4 linked regions of the Arabidopsis thaliana genome follow. The protein of the gene in region 3 interacts with the protein of the main gene of each other region in a pairwise test. Each region holds a gene or a part of one and is shown on either strand. Other genes may lie near its edges.

The links.
Region 1: the proteins of AT1G01910 (region 3) and M10 interact in a two-hybrid assay, tested with the Arabidopsis thaliana proteins (one large-scale study listed by BioGRID).
Region 2: the proteins of AT1G01910 (region 3) and AT5G22280 interact in a two-hybrid assay, tested with the Arabidopsis thaliana proteins (one large-scale study listed by BioGRID).
Region 4: the proteins of AT1G01910 (region 3) and AT3G44280 interact in a two-hybrid assay, tested with the Arabidopsis thaliana proteins (one large-scale study listed by BioGRID).

The regions. Positions count from the first base shown.
Region 1 is NC_003071.7:17,207,144-17,211,959, reverse strand, and holds M10 (late embryogenesis abundant protein (M10) / LEA protein M10), read right to left. Parts: upstream 2,264-4,816; 5' UTR 2,198-2,263; coding exon 2,107-2,197; intron 1,982-2,106; coding exon 1,749-1,981; 3' UTR 1,537-1,748; downstream 1-1,536. Other genes in the region: SSL2 (strictosidine synthase-like 2), read left to right, coding at 377-643, 776-1,361; M17 (glycine-rich protein / late embryogenesis abundant protein (M17)), read right to left, coding at 4,468-4,816. UniProt on the Arabidopsis thaliana protein: May be involved in the acquisition of desiccation tolerance during late phase of embryogenesis.
Region 2 is NC_003076.8:7,372,824-7,378,262, forward strand, and holds AT5G22280 (peptidyl-prolyl cis-trans isomerase G), read right to left. Parts: upstream 2,897-5,439; 5' UTR 2,716-2,896; coding exon of another isoform or gene 2,683-2,715; intron 2,313-2,682; 5' UTR 2,290-2,312; coding exon 2,134-2,289; intron 1,704-2,133; coding exon 1,449-1,703; coding exon of another isoform or gene 1,388-1,448; 3' UTR 1,172-1,387; downstream 1-1,171. Other genes in the region: NAC089 (NAC domain containing protein 89), read right to left, coding at 3,221-3,556, 3,643-3,873, 4,040-4,293, 4,474-4,675.
Region 3 is NC_003070.9:312,227-318,852, forward strand, and holds AT1G01910 (P-loop containing nucleoside triphosphate hydrolases superfamily protein), read right to left. Parts: upstream 3,865-6,626; 5' UTR 3,606-3,864; coding exon 3,351-3,605; intron 2,790-3,350; coding exon 2,665-2,789; intron 2,577-2,664; coding exon 2,426-2,576; intron 2,326-2,425; coding exon 2,215-2,325; exon of another isoform or gene 2,000-2,214; coding exon 1,861-1,999; intron 1,770-1,860; coding exon 1,654-1,769; coding exon of another isoform or gene 1,646-1,653; intron 1,534-1,645; coding exon 1,369-1,533; 3' UTR 928-1,368; downstream 1-927. Other genes in the region: SBTI1.1 (subtilase family protein), read left to right, coding at 1-785; AT1G01920 (SET domain-containing protein), read left to right, coding at 3,978-4,031, 4,118-4,214, 4,313-4,487, 4,566-4,671, 4,782-4,864, 4,941-4,967, 5,068-5,230, 5,335-5,416 and 5 more. UniProt on the Arabidopsis thaliana protein: ATPase required for the post-translational delivery of tail-anchored (TA) proteins to the endoplasmic reticulum. Recognizes and selectively binds the transmembrane domain of TA proteins in the cytosol.
Region 4 is NC_003074.8:15,967,564-15,974,253, forward strand, and holds AT3G44280 (peptidyl-prolyl cis-trans isomerase G), read right to left. Parts: upstream 3,635-6,690; 5' UTR 3,364-3,634; intron 3,001-3,363; 5' UTR 2,970-3,000; coding exon 2,814-2,969; intron 1,508-2,813; coding exon of another isoform or gene 1,481-1,507; exon of another isoform or gene 1,368-1,480; coding exon 1,197-1,367; 3' UTR 952-1,196; downstream 1-951. Other genes in the region: NAC060 (NAC domain containing protein 60), read right to left, coding at 5,346-5,684, 5,822-6,055, 6,196-6,449.

The sequences.
Region 1 (4,816 bases), on a different chromosome or scaffold from region 3:
AGCAAATACTACTATGACACATTCAAATAGATTCAAATATATATATATTTTAAAATATAGAACTATATCTATATATATATGTACATATATATATACCACTAAGTTTTACATGGTGGTGACTTAAGTTTCAAGTTTATTAGTTTTGGGTAAGAGTCTAAGAGATAAATTATTCATTTGGTTTGAAAAGCCACACTAAAAAGATGAAATAACCGTTTTCTGAGAGGGGAAACAAAAACTCTACAACAACTTTTTTTTTTTGGGAAACTGAGAGAGTGGCAAATAAAACTTCTCATTAAACTCGGGGCCTTATTAATAGCCAAAATAGTTCTGAAGAACAATTAATGATGGCAATTTATGTTTTGTTTGTTCAATGTAGAGAAGGTTGTGAGGGCCCGCACGAGCACCAACGAACAGAACACGTGTGTGGACGACCATTGGGCCTTGCCTTTGACAAATCCACTGGTGACCTTTATATAGCCGATGCTTATATGGGCCTTCTTAAAGTTGGCCCAACAGGTGGTGTCGCCACTCAGGTGTTACCACGTGAGCTAAATGAGGCCCTTCGATTTACCAATTCTTTGGATATCAATCCACGGACCGGAGTTGTCTACTTTACCGACAGTAGTTCGGTTTATCAACGGAGGTACAAAATTCTTGGAAATTTAATGAAAAACATGTTTTTATATGAGTGAAAAAGATCATTGTTTATATGTTTTTTTTTTTTGTTTTGTTTATATGATGCATTATTAGTACGTAAATTGTTTTTTTTTTCCAGGAACTATATAGGGGCGATGATGAGTGGGGACAAAACTGGTAGACTGATGAAGTACGACAACACGAAACAAGTGACCACTCTTCTAAGCAACTTAGCGTTTGTAAACGGTGTCGCTTTAAGCCAAAACGGTGATTACCTTCTCGTCGTCGAGACCGCCATGTGTCGTATCTTACGTTACTGGCTCAACGAAACGTCGGTAAAGTCTCAATCTCACGATAACTACGAGATTTTCGCGGAGGGGCTCCCTGGGTTTCCAGACAACATAAAGAGAAGTCCACGTGGCGGATTCTGGGTAGGCTTGAACACAAAACACTCAAAGCTGACAAAGTTCGCCATGTCGAACGCGTGGCTTGGACGTGCCGCTTTGGGCCTGCCGGTGGATTGGATGAAGGTCCATTCGGTTTGGGCCAGGTACAATGGGAACGGCATGGCCGTGAGGTTGAGCGAGGATAGTGGCGTTATATTAGAGGTATTCGAAGGTAAAAATGAAAATAAGTGGATATCTATAAGTGAGGTTGAAGAAAAAGATGGAACTCTTTGGGTTGGATCGGTGAATACTCCTTTCGCTGGCATGTATAAAATCTAAAATTGAGTAATACAAATATGTTTTTCCAACAATATGATTCATATATAGATAATTAGACGATACATCCCCCCTCCCCCTATTCTTATTTTTTAGGATAACAACTAATAAGTCCGTTTAGTACCACTTTATATTGTGCTAGGTAGCTACATGCATGCCTTTTGATAATTTAAACTGTGAACAAAATATTAATATTAAAACAGTTATTATTTATAACATCCACGAGAAAAACACCTCATAACCAAAAACCATTAATGAACCTTTGGTTTCTTTCTATTGAGCTCTCTCTAGGTATCTTACTTAGGCACCATGCTTCTTTTATTTATACATACATACGGTAATTGACCACTGCATGCATACAAACATATAGAGTTTGTGTTACATGCGAAATCATGGCTTAGCTTCTTCCTTCTGAGGCTCAACAGTTTTTACAACTTCGTTGGCCTCGGCTTGACTGCGGCAACAGTATATGCACAGTCCATTCCACCAGTACCCACCGCAACATCCGAACCTACAACCACCACCAGGCAAGCCTTGCTGGGGCTCTACAACAGCGTCATTGACCTCGACTTCGGCTTCTATAGCATCAGTTGCTTCAGTACTCGGCTTCACTTCTTCTTTAACTGCACGTGTGATATACATGTTATACACCATGGATCAAATATTTAATCATCTGTTACCAAAAAAAATAAAAATTTAATCATGCGAAAGTGTGAAGGGAAATTATATTATATAGAGTTGCACACACCATGTGTGGCATCGTTGGATGTGTCCGCAATAACAGCAAGGGAGAGAGAAAAGAGCAAAGCCACGAGAACGAGAGACATGAGGTTTCCCATTTTTTGTTTTCGTTACACAAAACACTTAGCTTATTTGGTTTATTGAGGGAAGATGATTTTGTTAGTGAAGTGTATGATGAGCACAGCACATGTATTTATAGTTGGGCAGCAAAACTTGGGGACAAGATACCAGTCAACTTTGTCGCGTGATCGAAGATAATGGCATATATATTTATAGGGATATTTCTATAACGAAAATGTTAAAAAAAAATTATATGATCTTTAGAGACCATATATAATAGATCTGATCATAACCTATCGTGTTTACACGTGTCCACCAGTGGTCACAAAGTCCTATTCTTGGACTTAAAAGTTCAAACCCACCGTTCGAAATGATAATGTTAGCTTCTATCCATTCCAAAAACGACCGTTCGTCCGTTCGGCCTTGCCTTTGACAAATCCACTTGTGACCTCTATATAGCCGATGCTTATACGGGCCTTCTTAAAGTTGGCACAACATGTGGTGTAACCAATCAGGTTTTGTCATGTGAGCTGAATGAAGCCCTTCGATTGACCAATGGATAGGATATCGATCCACGGACCGAAGTTATCTACTTTATAGAGTTAAAATTATCTTATATTATCTTAAACAAAGAACATGTTTATACTTTATATTAATAAAAGGAGCATGTTTATATGATGGATTAGCTCGTAATTGTTAATTTAATTGATTAATTGAGGGATAGTACGATGAGTGGAGACAGAATCGGTAGACTAATGAAGTATGACCCAACTACGAAACAATTGACCACTCTTCCAAGTTCTAAGCAACATAGCATTCGCAGGCATCGTTTGGAGTAAAAACGGTGATTACTTTATAGTTGTCGATCGATGCCACCACGTGTGGAATCCTATATTACTGGGTTAACGTCTAAATTTTAGGAAAACTACTAAATTTTTGTGGAAAGGCTTTTGGGGTTATCCGACAACAGAAATAGATCCAGAATTCGGAGTAGCCGGGTAGGCATATTGAACATGTGGCTTGGAACTGCCAGTGGACTGGATCCATTCGGTTTGGGCCAAGTACAAAAGGAACGACATCGTCGTGAGGTTGACCGAGAGTAGTGGCGTAATTTCGAATAATTTCGGAAGTTTTGGAAGGTAAGAAATGAAACCACAAAAAAAATGAAAATACAAATAAAAAGAAACATGAAAATAATGTAAGTGGATAACTGGGTATATCTATTTGACCATCCTCATTCAACAATTTTTCACAAATATCTTTCACGAAAAATAATAGTAAAGTTAAAAATATCCCAAAAATAGGAGTTTTAAATGTCTCTAAGAAGACACAGTTCTCATTTAAATACACTCATATTTTTACTCTCTTTTTTCATAAAATATTGATGTTTACGTGTTTGTAGTTTGTTACATAAAGATTGATTTTTTAGGTTTTTACTTTATTTTTATTAATTAATATTAATAAATCTTAGATTTTAAGACATAATGATTAACTATTTTATACTACAATTAGTTCAAAATTGTTAAAAAATATTTAATTTTTAAAAATGATTAACCAATAATTAAACAATGATTATTTTTGAATATATGTGAAAACTCTAGAACATCAAACTTTTTAGGAATACAGAAAATGTTTTTTTATATATTTAAAACTATCCATTTAAAAACACCCATACAAGTAACTAATGTAGAAACTAAAATTGATTAATACAAATATACTTGATTCATACATAATTAGACGAGATATTCCCCTCGAATACATGATTTTACAGCAGCACCTTTAATGTTTACGATTTTATAGTAGAATCAGTTATTCTTTATTCTTAACTTTTAGGATAATAATTCTGTTTGGTTCCATTTTATATTAACCTATGGCTTTTATTGAGCTAGCTAGCTTAGCTACATGCATGCCTCTTCATAATTTAAACTGTGAACAAAATATTATAATCCATGGTATTAAAACAGTTGTTATTATTTGGGGATCTTTCTTTACTCAAATGATTAAGTCCATTTTATTCCGTTTTTCCTATCGGAATTTGACTTAACTCAATTGTGTTACCCGTATAATATGAATTGGTTATGACTCGAAATTTGTCAAAAAATAAATTAAAAAACAGTTGTTATTATTTATAACATCCACGAGAAAAGAAACACTACATAACAAAATACATATTATATGAACCTACGTTTTCTTTTATTGACCTCTAGGTACCTTCTTAGGTACTATTTTTGCTTTATTTTGACATACGTACGTAATGGTAATTAGCTATGCATGCATACAAACATAGAGAGTTTGTATTACACGCAATTCATGGCTTAGCTTGTTGGGCCTCAACAGTTTCCACAACCTCGTTTGCCTCGGCTTGACTCCTGCAACAGTATCTGCACCGTCCACGCCACCACCCACCGCAACATCCCCACCTACAACCACCACGGCCACCGCCACCACCACCGCCACCACCACGGCCACCCTGCTGAGGCTCAACATCGTTGGGCTCAACAGTTTCCACAACCTCGCTGGCCTCGGCTTGACTCCTGCAACAGTATCTGCACCGTCCACGCCACCACCCACCGCAACATCCCCACCTACAACCACCACGGCCTCCGCCACCACCACCGCCACCACCACGGCCACCCTGCTGAGGCTCAACATCGTTG
Region 2 (5,439 bases), on a different chromosome or scaffold from region 3:
AATCAGAATAAGAAACACAGTAAAACAAAACTTTAGATGGAGATCCATGGTTTATAAAACATGTATATATATAAAAAGAATTGATCAATTGAATACTTATTTTTCTATCGATCAATCAAAAAGTGAAGATGACAATAACAAAATTTCAACATATGAGAACAAAAAAAATTCGATGAGAACAAATTAACTTGGTTCTCGGGTTCCAAAGTAGCTTTACCTTGGTGAAGACTAGTAGTAGTTTAGTTCTTGTTCTTGAGATTTAAAGAGAGATAGTTTGATGTCTGCATGTTAGTGGCTGTTATATATATATAGATAGAGGAGAAGATACACGCAAGATGAGAGAGGGTCTCATTGAATGTATATTAATGAATTAGTAGGATTAGTTTCATCTAGCTTTCAAAATAAATATTCTTGTAGAAAATAATTATAATATGAGGTGTTTGTAAGCAATAAATGTAATTTGAAAATAATAGTATGCAAAAGATTGAGTATATGACTTGTGCTTTGAAATTGCATTTATTACCAAATAGTATTTGGATAATTACAAAGGAGATATTTTTGTCCATTTTCATAAATCATCATATTATTAGTATGAAAATCGAAATTCAAATTGAGAGGGAAGAAGTAGACAATGCATTTGTTTCAAACTTGGAAGGTTGTAATGTAGTTAAAATCGGTGTTGACAAAAACAAATTGTAGTTTAATGGGTAGTTGATATTATTAGATTTCTAAAGTCGTATATGATGATACTTTTTTTAATAAACCGAAAATTATTGTTGAAAAATTGATAAGTATTGGTGAATATGAATTTGGATAGCTTGACGGCTAGACGCACGGCCAACAAATGATAGAAAGATTGACCAAAAACAGATGAATGGCTTTTGACTGTTAATATTATTGACTTTTAGAATGCCAAATAGTAAAATGGAAGAATAATAAATGAGTATGTGAAAATTCATGGGAGATTTGGTTTTGTTTGACTTAGAACAAATATGGAGTTGTGGTTGGTGTCTAATAAGAGATTTATTTAGGCTCTGACTAGTGATGAAATCATGGAAAGAATATGACATAAGATTGCTTTTGTCATCTTAGACTTTCGTTAGCCTCATCAGTCAAAGTAAAAATCTAACTACACACAACCAAAGTTTGACTATACCAAGACATCGACAATGATAGAATCAATCAACCATAACTAAAGATATTACAAGTACCCTAATTCTCAACTTTTATTACAAGTACTTAAATATCTCAATCTTACACGTGAATAAAGTAAATCATCCTTCTAATCAAAACATCAGCAAGGTTTTTAACACAACAAAAGTAAATTACAACAGTTTTTACGTACCATTTGGGTTATTTATTAGAATTGATGTAACCGGAGGAAATACTAGTCTTCCACGATGTGTTTCCTCTCGAGCTCAATGAACTGTTTGTTATTATGGGAGGTTTCAGTGGCGTTTCGTGTCTCGTTCTCTCCTTTGCATCGCTGTAACTGCATTTGAAGACTTCGTACAAGGTCGTTTAGCCTCTGGATATGTCTCTCTTGTGACAAGATGATCTGTAACGATTAACAAACTAAGAATTGACAGGTCTTCTTCTATTTTCAGGTTCAAAATTATGCTGAAGTTATGAGGTTCGTCATACATCCAATGGAACTTTAAGGTTGCAAGACCAATAAGTCTATGTTTCTCCACTAACCTCATCTATTTGATGCAATCAGGGAAAACACAACAGAAGGCAAAAAAACCCCGAATATTTCTATGCAACATTAAAAACTCAGATCAGTCATTGATGGATTCCATAGACATTCTCAAAAAGAAGAAGATAGAGATATGAAAGCCAGTTACAAAGAATGTTTGTCCAGAGACTCATGAGACTAGAATGTCGAGGATAAAGTCAACAACACAACTACTAAGGCATAGTTATAGATTGACTCAAAAGGCAAGTGAAGCAGATATAGGAATCTTAAGCATCAGAGCATTCTAAGTTAACTGACACTATCCAATTATGCATATCTCTGCTACAGTTGTACTAATCTATAAGTCACAATCCCAAAACGAATTCTCAGGTCTTTCTCATACAACTGAACACACAAAACTTCAATGAAAAAGAGTTTAAGAATGAAGTAAGTACCTTCTCCTTGACAGCTTCTTCCCTCTTTGCAATTTGCTGATGTTTCTGAGACAAGCTAGGAGCTGCATCAAGCTCAAGAAGTGGTTGCCTCCATTCAAACTGAGAAGTGACTATAAGTATAACCAGAAGAAAGACTAGCATGATCGGCCTCGACATTTTCTATTCAGCTCTTACAAAACCTGTTCCAAATTTCACAATCAATCCATTTCATACCATCCTAAACACACATCCAAAGACCACGCCTAATCGAATTGAGACATATATCGAAAATGAGATCGATGCGACTTAAAATTCACCTACTCACTTCAAATTTTCTAATTAAAAACCAAAAGTAGAACAATGTAAACAGTGTAAGCTGATACTATAAAAAGCAACTCCATCAAATCAATGACCTAGGGTTTCAATACGAATCTCCTTCATATGTAACTAACTTACTAAGGATAAGCAAATAACACATACTACAGAAAAACTGAATTTCCTCAGCACAACAAAGCAAAATTGAAGCATCGTAGAAGATATAACGAAGACGATTAAGTATCTCCAACTTACAGATCGATTTATCACAGTGAAATCAAACTTCATTATCGAATCATCAGCTTTTCTAGGGTTTCTTAAACCGGAAAAATTGACGAAACTGATCGAGATCAATAAAATCGGCTTGACGGAGTATTGAGGAAACTTGACTTCTCCAAAATGGGTTCTCGTATAGAAGAAGAGAGAAAGAAACAAAAGCAGAGGTTTAATGGCGGCGAGAAAATTCTACAAATCTTAGTGCAACAACCATCTGGACGAGAAAGATAAACAGTACGGATTTGGAAAATAGTCATTTACTAATTTGCCCCCATCATTTATCCATTCTCTGATTCTCATTAAACACACCACTTAATAAGCCTTGAAGTGTAAAAACTATATCCACTAGTTCTTCTGTGCTTGATATTTCAGGTTTTGATTTGGTTGCACAGATTTGAAGTAGAAGTGTAAAACATAAACCGTTTACACAAAAACATCATATAATCCTTGTCAATGTCCGAGAAAAGATGATACAAACATAGCTAGGACACTGTTTTTCGCTACTTCCATAAGCCTCTTATTCTAGATAAAACAACATTGCTATCAGAGCCACTACACCTATAATAACATCCCATCGTGCCTTGTTCACTGATTTGATCGAGTATAAACCCACGAAGCAGCTCGACAATGATTCCGTGGCGTCTTTTCCTTTCTTCTTCTGTGATGGTCTTTCCTCTAACAGTGATGACATTTGTTTGTCTATCATGTTTGGTAAAGGAAGTACCCTTATCTCCATTGATGCTGATTCTAGTGTTGGCACTTCGTTTGGTGTGTTCCCTGTCATCACCGCTTCATCGAGATTGATGATTTCGTCTCTTAGGATATCCGCAAAGAAATCCTCGTCATTATCCACCTAAACCACACACACATAACATTCATTAAGAAGAACGACAACAATCAAGAACCATCATACAACAATTAGAAGCCAGGTGACAAAACCTGTAGATTTTCTGATGACTCTGCCATCTCAGCGAGTAGTTTCTCCCCTGATTCACCTGCTAGGTAAAAATCAACCAAGTTGTCCCAATCAGACGGGCTCCCTGAACTCGTAGCGCCATTTTGGACTTTCGCATGCTTCTCGGCTGATGAATTTGGCTTTGGTGCCTTCTGACTTGTACCACTATTGTATTCTTTGTTCCTCCTAACCCGGCAAACAACCATAGCATCATCCTAGAATTTACATAAACATAATCAATCAACTCAAGCCAAAGACAAAACTCCTAAAATTTTACTGTATTCCTCTTAGAGACTCAAAAAGTAGCCAAAGTCACCACCTCTTATGTAATGGTTAACAATTAATCTATAAGAAAAAACAAACTCTCGAGAACAGTTTTACCAGAGATACTCCTTTCACGCAGTACTCGTGCATAATCCAGTCAGTTCTTTCGCCTTTTGGTGCACGACCAATATGGAAAACAAGCGTCCTCTTTGTTCCAATGACCTCAGAACCAGACTTCACATCACGCTCTTTCCCAGTTGCTTTCCAGTATCCCATCTTCGTTGCTCTCCTGTTCTGTGAACCATGTGGATACTTTTTCCCACGCGCACAGAAGAAGAACCACTCGCTATCAGATTTCACAATCGACTTATCTGCAAAGAACAAACACACAAAAAAAATTGTCAATTCCAATCCAAGAGCCAAAAAATAGAAACTTTATATCTTAGGCACCCAAAATAGAGATCTCTCCTGAAGCCTGAAGAACAACAAAATCAAATTCCAAGTAGAAGAAAGACACAAAAGAATCAATTGGTTCGAATTCGAAGACAAACCGGGTAAATCCCAAGGCTCGAAATTGTAAATCTCAAGGTCCGGTATAACCTCAACGGACCTCTCCAAGCCATCCATCTTCCGCTTCAGGTAATACGAAATCAACTCCACATCCGTCGGCGAGAATTTAAACCCAGGAAACACCGTCGACGCTTCCATCGACGCCGCCGTATCCTTAGAAACTCCAACCGCCTTCGTGTCCATGAAGGCTCGCGCGTATACAACAGTCGCCACAAAAAGAGCGCGTAAGAAATCGGCCACCGCCCAAAGAGTAAAATCCGGGAATTTTCGATAACCTGAAGGATTTTTCTTCTCAGTGTGGTCTCTTCTCACTTGCTCAGGGAGCTTTTGAATTGTTATTGGAACACTTCACAGGTGCACACATATGGGTTTTTGCATACGTGTTGCCAAGGCATTGCTTAATCTACGTGTGCATGCCACGTCACTAAACCTAGTTATATTATAGGTTTTATTTCATTTAGACCCTTAATGTTTTTACGTACTCCCAATTTACGACTTATTGTTTAGTGTTTTCAGATAAAGTCCCAATATATATCCGAAATCTTACTATCGATCAATCGCTCACAATTATATATCCCAAAATATCTTGTTCAGGATCTCGTAATCAACAAGCGTTACCTCAAAGTTTTTGTTGATTTGAAGCTTAAGGGTTAACCACTTATCATTACAAGAAAACTTATCCTTCTTGATGGATTTCAACTGCTCCACAAGACTTTCCATATAGTTAAGTTTAATCAAAAACTCATGTTCAAAAAAGCTAAACAAGAAAGGTGAATTTTCGCAAATCTCCCTCCGTAAAACCTCGTACGTCTTCGAAATAGTATTAGTAGTAAAATCTGTGGACTATGTTTCTGTGTCAAGGTACGACAGGGAAAACGAAATGTATGAGTGAACTTTATTGTTGTTTCCATGATGAAATGGGGTTACAAATTACGATCAAATTATAC
Region 3 (6,626 bases):
CGGACATTGCGGCTCCCGGTCTGAACATCCTCGCCGGATGGTCACCGTTCAGCAGCCCTAGCCTCCTCAGATCCGATCCAAGACGCGTCCAATTCAATATCATCTCGGGAACCTCCATGGCTTGTCCTCACATCAGCGGAATCGCCGCTCTAATCAAGTCCGTTCACGGGGACTGGTCACCGGCGATGATCAAATCAGCAATCATGACGACGGCGAGGATCACTGACAATAGGAACCGACCGATCGGAGATAGAGGCGCCGCGGGAGCTGAATCGGCGGCCACAGCGTTTGCGTTTGGAGCGGGAAACGTGGATCCCACGCGAGCGGTAGATCCCGGGCTGGTATACGATACCTCCACCGTCGATTATCTCAACTACTTGTGCAGCTTGAACTACACGAGTGAGAGAATACTCTTGTTCTCCGGCACTAACTACACGTGTGCTAGTAACGCCGTCGTTTTGAGTCCCGGTGATTTGAACTATCCCTCGTTCGCGGTCAACCTCGTTAATGGCGCGAATTTGAAAACGGTGAGATATAAGAGGACTGTGACTAACGTTGGGTCACCGACTTGTGAGTATATGGTGCACGTTGAGGAACCAAAAGGTGTGAAGGTGAGAGTTGAACCAAAGGTGCTCAAGTTCCAGAAGGCCAGAGAGAGGTTGAGTTATACGGTGACGTATGATGCAGAAGCTTCGAGAAATTCGTCTTCGTCTTCCTTTGGAGTTTTGGTTTGGATATGTGACAAATACAACGTCAGAAGCCCAATCGCCGTGACGTGGGAATAAATTTCGCATCTATTGATTGCCATTTTCATATTTATTATATACCAAAGAAACTTATTGAACAAAAGCTTACCCTAAACTTGTAAGAATTTGTCAATAAATCAAAACATCTCTTATTTACTATAATTTTTTTACATGAATTTTCCTTCTCTGTTGCAAGACCAGTCTACAGTATATAAAAAGCTGTTACAAGAGATCATAGCATTCGCTTGTCACAGATACCCTTCAACTTAATATATAAAAAGCTGATTAAGTCGTAAAACAACGATTTCTTGGTAGATATGAGTCTATGTAGTCATGATTATTACAAATATAAAAACAAATCCAATGCATAACAATAAAACAACGCAAAAGAAGATTCTGCTTGATCTTCTTTCCTGTCCTATAAAGAGTTGTTGCTAGATGAAGAACTAGAGAGAAAAAGATTCAGTTTTAATTTTCCACCTATAAATTGTTCAAAACATAAACAACAATAAACCCAAATGACAACGCAGATCCAGAAGACCCCCATGTAGAAAGCAAGTGAGTTCCAAGAATATGGCGAGGAAAGAAACTTACAATTAAAGGGAAGAACAGAGCCTTATCTTTAGCCACTCTTGACCCGTTCGAGTTCTTCTTCAGCTGTTTTTAACTGCAAACGCAATGTGTGTACTTTCCTCTCCAGCTCCTCTACATTGCTCCTGCTAGTGGTAGGATGGTACGGCGTCAAGAACTTATGTGAAAACGCCTTTAAGGCTTCAACCCCTGTCACCTGTGATCCAAACATCCACAACAAGTGTAAATCTCAGGATGTATATTATATAAGGCTTTAGTTTCATTTTCGTCTTGATCATGTTCCTTCTCATCTATATTGAATGTCATGCGTTCTTACCTCTTCCGGAAGCAGAGGAAGCTTTGTGATATTAAAGTCATCGTATAGCATATAAAACTGATCAAGATACTTCTGTTGCATCCGCATCCTTGCTCTGAGCAACTTGGACTCCACATCTACAGAAGACAAGTGTAGATAATTCGTCAAATTTGTATGTAAAACAAGTTCAAAACGAGAAGATAGACACGACAGCAAATAAATAGGCACCTTCGTCGTCGTATAGTACTTGGTTGATGATAATGTTATGCGTGTCAATCTCAAACTTGGCGAGTTCCTGAACAAGTCTCTCTGTTTCATAGAGAGACAAGAACTCGGGGATGCAGACACAAACGAACGTAGTCATATCCTACGTAATGGAGCCAAATGTGTCAATTTCTTATCTTAAAATGCAGAGTTTGTTAGATATGTATCAGAATTTTCACTAATGCAAATGAATGCTGTCAAACCGTATGCTACAGAACAATGTGAAGAATCTAAAACTAAACTTCACGAACAGAGTTAAGAAAACAGTCAATGAGTACTGAAAATAGCAAAGAACTTAAACAATTGAAAAAATGTTACCGGGTCTTTGAATTGCCGATTTACTTGCTCAATCACATCTTTCAAGCCCTCAAGTCTTCCCAGCAAAGCATCCTCTCCGAACTCATCCTCCATGCCAAACATACGGCTCATCTGCATTACCAATCAGTTCCATGAAAAATCAGCCAAAGAAGAAACCAAAGAGCAATATCTGTTGCCAAGCAAACTGAATTTGACAAGCTTAAAGACATGCCTGAGTCATCAAGCCACCAAATCTACTCTTCAATGACATCAACTTCGAAAGTCCCTTTTCTAGTGTGGCCGGAAACTGTAACAGGCGGAGAGTATGTCCAGTAGGAGCAGTGTCAAACACAATAGTAGCATAATCCATTGTTTGCACCAACCTAAGGAAACATAAACATATCAAAATTTGACTGTGATAATACATGGATAAAGGCAGATGATTACTAGAAGAACTAAATGGCTATTTACTTCAACATCTCAGCAAAACTCATAGCCTCATCGATTCCAGGAATCGCATTTGCCAAATCAGAGAATAAACCATCCATCCCGTCTGTACCAGCCATGTCATCAGTTTCAACGGTAGGATCTACCTCCTGAGAAAAGCAAACAAGATTCACTCACTATCAAGAGGGAAGGAGTGTGAATCGTAACCATTTGCTTATAGTATGTGTATATATATACATATACACACAGACACAACTAAGAGCTTCAAGCTTAGAAGAGTAGCCATAAAGTCATCATCAAGCCTGTCTATTAGAGGCGACCCAGAACCACAAAAAACAACTTTTTTTTTTTTTTTTGAATTTGGCATAACTAGCCATGAATTTTAACTACAATAGACAAAAATTCGATTTGATTTGGGGACATCAAATCTTCTTCACAATCCCCTTCCGTATCAAGAATACAAATTGGCGTCCAAATTCCAAACCTAATCCCCAAAATCAGAGTGGGCATATGATAAGAAAGGCACAAATCAACCGTATTTATGCAAGTACTAAATCTGACTTCAAAATCAAAATTGATCCATCAATCTGCGGTTTGAAATTCGTGAATCAGAGAACCCTAATTCCCAATGAGATTAAAATCCAGGAGCGAAACTACCAAATTCCCTCTAAAATCTAGCACGATCTAGAACAAAATCGGAGAAAGCTTACCATGGCAAAGAGATTAGAGAAACCTTGAACCAAAGTGGGAGATTTAGTGAAGCGTTGCTGAAAGGCATCACTAAGATTGTGAGCAGGATCGGTGGAGATGATGAGAACGGAGGATCGAACACTGGCGAGACAAATTGCGAGAATTGAACTGCATGTCGTCTTCCCAACACCTCCTTTACCTCCGACGAAAACCCATTTAAGAGACTCTTGGTCCAGAATGTTCTGTACTGTCGCCTCCGGCAAATCCGCCGCCATTGCTAATTCCTTGCTCGTCTCTCTTCCACTAGTCTCAATCTAAAGAGCTCCTTGTTAGATATTTGGCGTACGGAAGAGTTTAACTGCGGCGAGAGACTTTTAACGCCGCCCGGTTCAATATTTTGGTTCTCGGTTTTGGGATATCACAGCAGTCTTGGTTTGATTTTTTTGGTTATCGTTTTTCACTTGTTCAATTTTTCTTTTTTTGTTAAAAATTTAAATTTGGTGTGTTTAAGTTCATAAACGCTAAATAAGCCCATACAAAAGCCCACATAGATGAAGCCATTACGACAGCGTATTGTGAGTTACGATTGAAAACCCCTCTCTACTCGGTTAAACCCGTCGCCGGCATATTGATCTTCGCCGGAGGATATGGCGATTTCAGAAGAAGAAGCCAAACTCGAAAGGTTCCTAGATTGGCTTCAGGTTAGATCCGGATTAAGTGTTGTTTTTCAGTCCTGATCTGCTGCTCTATATCATGGCATTTTGTGTTTCGATCTAATTTCATTCAGGTGAATGGAGGTGAATTAAGAGGCTGCAACATCAAATATTCTGACTCCCTAAAAGGATTTGGCATATTCGCTTCCACCTCCACTCAAGCTTCCGATGGTATAGTATTGTTCTTACCATTTCTTGCTGGGTTTTTTTCCGGGGAATATGTATGGAAAGTTGATATTGAATTCTGATTCAGCTCTGGAAATTTTCAGAAGTTTTGCTTGTTGTTCCGCTTGATCTGGCCATTACCCCTATGAGAGTTCTTCAGGACCCTCTCCTGGGCCCTGAGTGTCAGAAAATGTTCGAACAAGGACAAGTTGATGACCGCTTTCTCATGATTCTGTTCCTCACTTTGGAGCGTCTTCGTATCAATTCTTCTTGGAAGCCGTAAGTTTTTTTTTTAATCTCTTAGCACACATTTACGTAAGCTTAAGGGTATTCATCTGTCTAGAAATGATATGATAGGTATCTTGATATGCTTCCTACTCGATTTGGCAATCCTCTTTGGTTTTCTGATGATGACATCCTTGAGCTAAAAGGGACTAACTTGTATCACGCAACCGAGTTACAGGTCTCAATCTTGATCATTTATTCCTGTCTTATCATATCGTCCTTAAAATAGCAACCACATTTTCTCTTTTCATTTATTAAACCCAATAACCATCGTGTATTCATTCTCAGAAGAAGAAGTTGCTCTCGCTTTACCATGACAAGGTGGAGGTCCTGGTGACAAAGCTTCTTATTTTGGATGGCGATTCCGAAAGGTTGACATATTTACACTACTTTTAGACCAAATTATTGTTCATTGATAATCATATTTTGTTTTCTCTCTTCGTGCAGCAAGGTCTCCTTTGAACACTTCCTCTGGTATGTTTGGTACTGGTGTTATTCCTTGTTAGTAGAACCAGACTTTTGTGTCTTGTAAAGGGCTGCTTAGTGATCTTGCGACTTTTTTCAATTATGCCAGGGCAAACTCTGTATTCTGGAGTCGCGCCTTGAATATTCCTCTTCCACATTCTTTCGTGTTTCCACAAAGCCAAGATGATACCGGGGAATGCACATCAACAAGTGAGTCCCCTGAAACGGCTCCAGTTAATTCTAATGAGGAAAAAGGCAAGTCATTAACGTCGGTCTGCTGAATTCTGTGTGAAATGCCTCTTTTTTAATTATTATTATTCTATCATGTAACGACAATTTCATGGGTTTCTTCATTTTCTGATGGGTAGAAATTCAGGCTCAACCTGCGCCATCTGTAGGATCCGGAGATACAATATGGGTTGAGGGGCTTGTTCCTGGCATTGACTTTTGCAACCATGGTATGCCAATCTTTGTTTCAAAAAGACTCTATTATCAGTTTCTCCGTTCCATAATGTTGATATGGTTAATGAGTATATCCCAGTGTGATGTGATATAATGACCTATGGTTATGGCAGTATAGATTTGAAGCCTGTGGCGACTTGGGAAGTTGATGGGATCGGATCAGTATCTAGGGTTCCTTTCTCCATGTACCTTCTCTCTGGTTGGCCAAATATTTGTTTGTGTTACCTCTCAGCTTTCTACAATTTTTCAATCAAACAATACAGAACATTCTTTTTCCTCTCTTCTTTTTGATCTGTATGCGGAAAACTAAGTGCTACAATTCTGTAAAGCAGTTGCTCAACGTCCTATCCCAAAGAAGGAGATCTCGATCAGTTATGGTAACAAAGGAAATGAGGTAAGATGTTTTGCAGCTATCTTGTACAACTATATAACTTGTCTCTTGGTAAAAAATCACATCTAGCCCTTTGTTTGAGTGATGTGCCTTCTTGCTGAATGCAGGAGCTTCTTTACCTGTATGGCTTTGTGATAGATAACAACCCAGATGATTATCTCATGGTAATATTTACATCCATCAACAGTTCCCTACCTTTTCAACCAGTGATGTATTATAGAAGTCTTGAGAATGATGACGAGAAACATAACTTTCAAGATCAAGGAGATGCTCGTCAATTTTGTTCTCACATCTGTTGTTACGTTTAACAATGGATTTATTCAGGTACATTATCCTGTTGAGGCAATTCCGAGTATCCCTTTTTCTGATTCCAAGGGGCAGCTGCTTGAAGCTCAGGTTAGCAGTACAAGTCTTCGCACTATCTTACCCGAAGTTTTGATTATAGACCCTATAAGACAATGTAGCTCTTTAATACATTTATTTCCATGTAATATGTAACTGTCGAACTCTAAAAAATATCATTGCAGAATGCACAACTCCGGTGTCTCTTGCCAAAATCGGTCCTAAATCATGGGTTTTTCCCACGAACCACATCAGTAATTAGAGAAAGTGATGAGAAGGAAACAGTGAGATCCTGTAATTTCAGTTGGTCTGGGAAGCGTAAGATGCCCACATATATGAACAAACTAGTTTTCCCAGAAGATTTTATGACTGGCTTAAGGACCATTGCAATGCAAGAAGAAGAGATTTACAAGGTCTCAGCTATGCTTGAAGAGGTATGATCACCGTTTTTTCTTTCTTCTGACATCTGAAAC
Region 4 (6,690 bases), on a different chromosome or scaffold from region 3:
ACAATCCTCCACTGACCCAAACACTCTTTTCGAAAATTTCAACAAATCTTCTTCTTCTTATTCTCCTATTCATTTCTTCATTTATCACTTCATCTCTGTCAACTCCGTCGCCGGCTGATTCTCCTCCTTATCTATGGCCGTTATCGACAGAGTTTTCGTTTGGAAACGAAACTCTCACGGTGGATCCCGCTGTGATCCTAATCGTAGCTGGAAATGGAGGTGGATCTTCTATTCTTTTTTGAAGAATTTAGATGTGAAACATGAGTAAAAAAAAAAGACCATAGGCGAAGCTTAGAGGTCGCCAGTTCGAGTGATGCTTGGGATGAAACTAATATTACATATTGTGGTTTCAGGTCTAGAACGATTATGGGTTTCAGCCCAGAACCTCCTGGTATTCAAAAAAAAAAAACCATGTAAAAAACTATGAATTTGGATGGGCTATCAGGCTTACAATATAATTTTCTGATTTCACGTAACCCAATTTTGTTTAATTGTTTTTATAAAAAATAATTGAAAAAATAAAAACCTATGTGGCAAATTTTATTGGTTAGGTGACTTGTGATATATAAGATAAAGAATTTGGAGCATTTGCAAAAATACTCATTTTCTTTTTTTTTTCAAAAATACCTTTTTCTATTGTCAATTTTTTAAATTATCCCTTGTATTTACAAAATAACTAAACTATCTTCTTTTTATTGATAACGAAAAAGTAAAAAAAAAAAGTAAAAATTCCCGCCAAGCGAAAGATGATCAATTCAACGGAAACAGAAAGTAAAAACTCCCGTTAAACGAAAGATGATCAATTCAACGGAAACAGAGACTCAAAACGATAGATGGATCATATGAATGCTCAAAATTTTAGATTTTAGAAATTGAAACAAACTCGCATATCCTTCAAACGTTTTTTTTTTTTTTCTAGAAAGCGTTCATAAGCTTTAAAATATTTTGCTGGCTTAAAAGTCAATATTTTGCTTGCTTAAAAAGTGACTTTATCGGTCGTCGATTATTGAAAATTGCCTTTACGTTGGGTTGAGCATTTAACATTGGACATTGATTTAGCGAACGACATAAAAAAAAACCGACGTCTTGTTCTTGTACAATACAACATCTCAACACAAAAGTTAAAAGAGTGATTTCTTTCACAACTTGTACATTACCAAAACAGTTATTAAAATAATGTTTTGTCGCTGCAGAGTTTAGCCTTCCAGGATTTGTTTCCTTTCGACCTCGATGAATTGTTTATTTATATGATAGCTTTTGGTGGCATTTTGGGTCTCATTCTCTCCCTTGCATTGCAGCAACTGCAATTGAAGACTCCTGACTAGCTCATTTAGCCTCTGGATATGTCTCTCTTGTGATATAATGATCTGTAAAAAACAGTGAACTTTGCTGTTAGATTTTGACGTTTCCCCTGAGACCACACTAAAATAAGGGCAGCCTTTTGTAGATGGTGACTGAAAATACCTAAGTGAGAACCATTCTACGAGCAGATGAAGTAAACAATCATCTGAAACTAACCTGGAATGTGTTATTATACAGATGAAAAAGAGTACAAGCCCATAACTTATATCATGTTGAGTCCCAAAAGCTACGAGCTACTAATCCATATATCTAACTTCATTTCAACTCTTGGATTTGCAGCTATTACAAGTGTCATTGTTGTCTAAATGAAAACTTGTGATCCTAGCATAGATAATGATAGCCTCAAGATGGATTAGCATGGAAAGATATAGATTACTAAGATGGAAGTTGGTAGAGAATACATTGAGATCAAGACTAAGTGGAAACCCGAGGTTACTCGATGGTACTAAAATATAAGATCAAAAGAAGTTATGTTTAATATAGTCATATAGTTTTGAATTCTTACTTATGCATCAGAGAAAACGCACTAAGCAATCCAAGCAAAGGATACAACACATTTTTGAGAAATCTTATTGAATTATTTCATACATAACAGCAGAGAGGAACAGAACAAGACACGGAAACCTATCCAAGAAAACATATAGAATCGTAGAAAGTCCAAGAAAACGTAATCAATTCAAAAACAATAGGTCAAATGGTAATCAATACACCTTCTAAGACAGCAACCCAAGGATTAAAAACTGATTTAATGAATGCATACACTTAGGTATGACGCCAAGCAACAGATATATAAAGATGAAGCGTAATCATCATGACACTAACGAAAGGTAACCAACCACTACATCTAGGCCATAAGGTCACCATCCCAAAACTATATCATGTATCTTACATACAACTAAACAAGCTCTTCTTTTAACGGGAAACCGCACAGAAACATGCATGAAAGAATTGGGAACCAGTGCCTTCCAATTGGATCCTTATAGTACTAAAATGTAAAATCAAAGAAGTTATGTCTAAATTAGTCTTATGAATTTTCCACTTCTCTCAATTAGTCTTATGCATAAGAGGAAAACCTACTAAGTAATCCAAGCAAACAGTTGAACAAAATTTTCAGTATTGGAGAATTCCAATACACAACCGCATAGACTAACAGAATAAGACACGAAATCCAATCCAAGAAATCGTTTAAAGTTGCAGAAAGTCCCATAAAAGATAATCAATGCAAAGAATAAAGTCGATTCAAAAACAACGTGGTTAAAAACTGATTTAGTTAATGAAAACATATGACCCTTAAGCACGACACTAAGCAACATATATATGAAAGTGAAGCTTCATTAACAAGACACTAAGGTACCCACTACACAGGGCATAATCCCAAAACTAGATGTTGTATACAACTACAATTCTCGTCTTCTAAAAGGAAACACACAGAGAAAGTTTGGAATCAGTACCTTCTCTTTGACAGCTTCTTCCCTATCTGAAATTTGCTGCTGTTTCTGAGACGAGCTAGTGGCTGTATCTAACTCAACAAGTGGTTGCCTCCATTCAAACTGAGAGGTAACTATAAGTATAACTAGTAGACACACGAGCAGGACCGGTTTCGACATTGTTTAATGTTTACTTCAGTTTTTAAAACACCTGCCACCCCAAACACCCAAAAGTTTTAGCCAATTCATAATCCAATACACTATTTACAAGCCTAGCAACTCAAAGACTACACATTTCCTTTGGATTCACAAAGCAATTTTAACTATTTCTAGGTAAAACAAAAGTGGTGGATTAACAAATTCAATTTTATTAATCCATCATCATCAAATTATATTTGGAAAGTTTCTAAAATCTGCAATTACTAAAGTCAAGCAATAACACATTTAAGACCTATCTATCAACTTGGGCTTTTATCGGCCTCTAAGATCAAAATTCAATTTTTCTTGTAACCCTTTTCTCAGAATCGACAAAAATGAAGACCCAGTGAAGCGATTAAGATAATCTTGAACTTACAAATCGAATTTGACCAGAGGAAGAACGAAACTTCATGATCGACCTCTTCCTCCGTTAGGTTCCGTGAATGGTGAAATTGAACGAGATCTTTCAAAAATCGAATTTTGAGATCGAATTCGCAATCAGAAACAGAGAAATGAGAGTTTTTGTGTTAGTAGAGAAATCCAAAAGCTGAGGTTTTTATTTGATTGATGATGAATTGCGCAAAATCTTTTCTTTACAAAAAAGAAACAGAACTAATGACGTTTCAGATTGACCCCATAATTTAATTTTTGTTCTGCTAAAAGTAATCCTAGATTTTATTACTTTTAGTAATTTAGCTTGAAATTTCAAATTGTCACAAACACCCCTAGTTCCCTACCCAACATTGTATTAATTGAGGAGATAAAGGTAGGAAACATATTATACAGAGATAATAAAGTTTATGTTTATAGACCAATTTTAGGCTAAGTCAAATATATGTGAAGTATTAGTATCATTATTTTCTTTTGGATATTTGATCTGTTACTTAAAAGATATTTTTAGCCATAACATAAAAACTCATTACTAAAAAAAATTATCTTTATGAAAGAGACTTTTAAGACAATTTAGAGAGAAAAATGTATTGTAAAACCCAAATTAAAGATTTGGAAAATAATAACTAAAACCCAAATAAATCGATCTCTATAATTCTATTATTGATATCATAGACTCATAGTAACAAAAGACTTTTATACTACATGAAAACAAAAGTTAGAATAGTCGGTTCTCTCTATTCTCTCTATTGAATCTTTCAAAGGAGACTCATTAAGTTTGTTGCCGTCCGGATCTTTTCCGGTTATCAAATCCCGTGTAACGGACTCTTTTCCAACATGCACCAGATTTTTAAGGTGTTTGGTTGGCTTTTATCCTACATCAATTGACTTTTACAGTCGAGATGATCAAGTTGGCTGTCGGCGTTTCTTGCTGCTTTGCTCTCGGTTGTTCATGACCGAATAAAGTTTATGTTGTGATGGTCAACTAGGTGCCCAAGCCATAGATTCTCGAAATCAAATTTTGATCCCTAGTTCTCATGCTTCCTCAAATCCTTCAGATTTAGCTTCTCTTCCCTAGGCCTTCAACCGATTTATCCACCTCTCTCATCTCTGAGATGAGTGATGTTGCGGTTAGACGGTTCCTTCAGTTTCCTCCAACAAGATTTCACAGTCAAATTTGGGTCAAGACCTGAAAAGTCTACTTCGGCTTATCGGTCTTCCATCAAATGAATCTCGAATTTACCGGTGTCAACATGTATTTGATGATTCCAAAGCTTCATCATCGAAGCCTCATCAAGTTGGGGTTGTAAGTAGATGTTTTGATTTCTTAAATCTAGTAATTATCAAGAGATGACGCGTAGTTCAGAGTTTTCCGGTGGTTGTAATGATCTCCGTCATCACTAACAAAATTCAGTTCAGAAAAGAAGTGGTGTTCACAGATGGCATCTCAATTGGAGCATTAGGAATTAACTTTTAGATTTTGTTTGTTTGATTCTGGTTTGGTACCTTTAATTGGCTTTTGTTTTTGTGTTTTAGATCTGAGGAATACTCGTTTCCGCCGGTTAAATATCTGTGGACTTACATGTGTCTTCCGGCTTTGTATCTTAAATGTGTGTTTTTTTTCCTTCGTTTGAAAGTGTTTGATTGTAAAAAAAGAATAAAGACTCATAGTAACACCAAGAAATACTACAAAGTGTAAAAGAAGTCCTCTTTAACTTGATAATTAAAACCAAAATAAAATATACATTTTCCACATCTCTTTTCTACCTGAAAATCTCATTGACAATGAATTTATAAAGATAGAAAAATCTACCTGATACAGAATTCATATATATCTCGAAAACCACACAGGTTCATATACTTAGAACACATAGATGCTACACGTAAACTAAGCCTAACAAGAACAACATATTCTCTCAACATTAAGAAAGAACCAAGCAAACTGCCTAGAAGATGTCTTCTTTAACCTCACACTAAATAAAACACCAACACGGCTATCATAACGAGTAACCAAACAACAACGTCCCATCGCGCTCGGTTTATAGACTTAATCGAGTAGATACCGATAAAGCAATTTGACATGGATATGTTGTTCTCTTCTCCAGTGTCATTTTGTAATGGTAGTTTCTGTAGCAACGATTGCATTTGTTTGTCTACCATGTCAGGTAAAGGTAGTACTCTTGTGGTATTGGACTCTGTTTGAAGCCTTGGTACATTGATCAGTGTATTACCGGATACCGCCGGATCATCTAGCTTTACTATTTCATCCCTCAGTATATCGGCATAGAAATCTTCTTCACTAGGAACCTTTAAACATGGAAAAATTCCTGGGAATCAAATCATGAATTTAGACCTCACCATTTGGGTTAATGTGCTATGTCAACCCGCAAATGCATCATGTGACATACTTAATGATACAAAGAACTAATTAAAAGAGGACCAACCTGTGGATTTTGTGAAGATTGTGAAGATTCTGCTATTTCACTAAGTAGTTCTTGCCCTGACTCACTTGATAAGTAGAAATCAACCATAGTTTCCCAACCATAAATACTTTCTGAAATAGCTTCATTCCGCAAGTTTACGTGCTTATCCAGTGGTAAACTTGGTTGTGGTGGCTTTTGAATTGTACTCCCTTGAAATTCAGTATTCCTCCTAAGTCGGCAAATAACCAGAGCATCCTATATAACACTCAAGAAAATTCAATAAACATAACAATATTCTATTTGCTAGTTAGTACTTTGAAAAGCCTTGTGTTTCAAATATATAGTACTACTATTTTGTGGCAAAATAAGGCTTCAAGGATCAGAAAAAAGTTTACCAGTGATACTCCAATCATGCAGTACTCATGCATAAGCCATTCCGTTCTTCCTCCTTTTGGCGCGCGGCCAATGTGGAATACAAGCGTTCTCTTTGTTCCAATGACCTCAGAACCTGACTTCACATTACGCTCTTTTCCTGTGGCTTTCCAATATCCTATCTTGGTTGCTCTTCTGTTCTGTGAACCGTGGGGATACTTCTTACCGCGAGCACAGAAGAAGAACCATTCGCTATCCGATTTAACGATAGACTTATCTGCGAGAAACATGTAGAAGAACTTGTTAAGAATAAAAGGGAGACACATAAATTTTTCTCAGACAATGGACAAGAAGATTTTGTTGAACAAAGCCAACAGTACCTCAATTGTCATAGTCCTCAACTTTTTTTCATGCAAATATAAATTAATTTCCACGTGAATACTTACAAATGCAAGAGCAGTTTGTAGCGGTTCAACGCACAATAACTACAAGTATGAGCAAATCAGGACAGGCATATC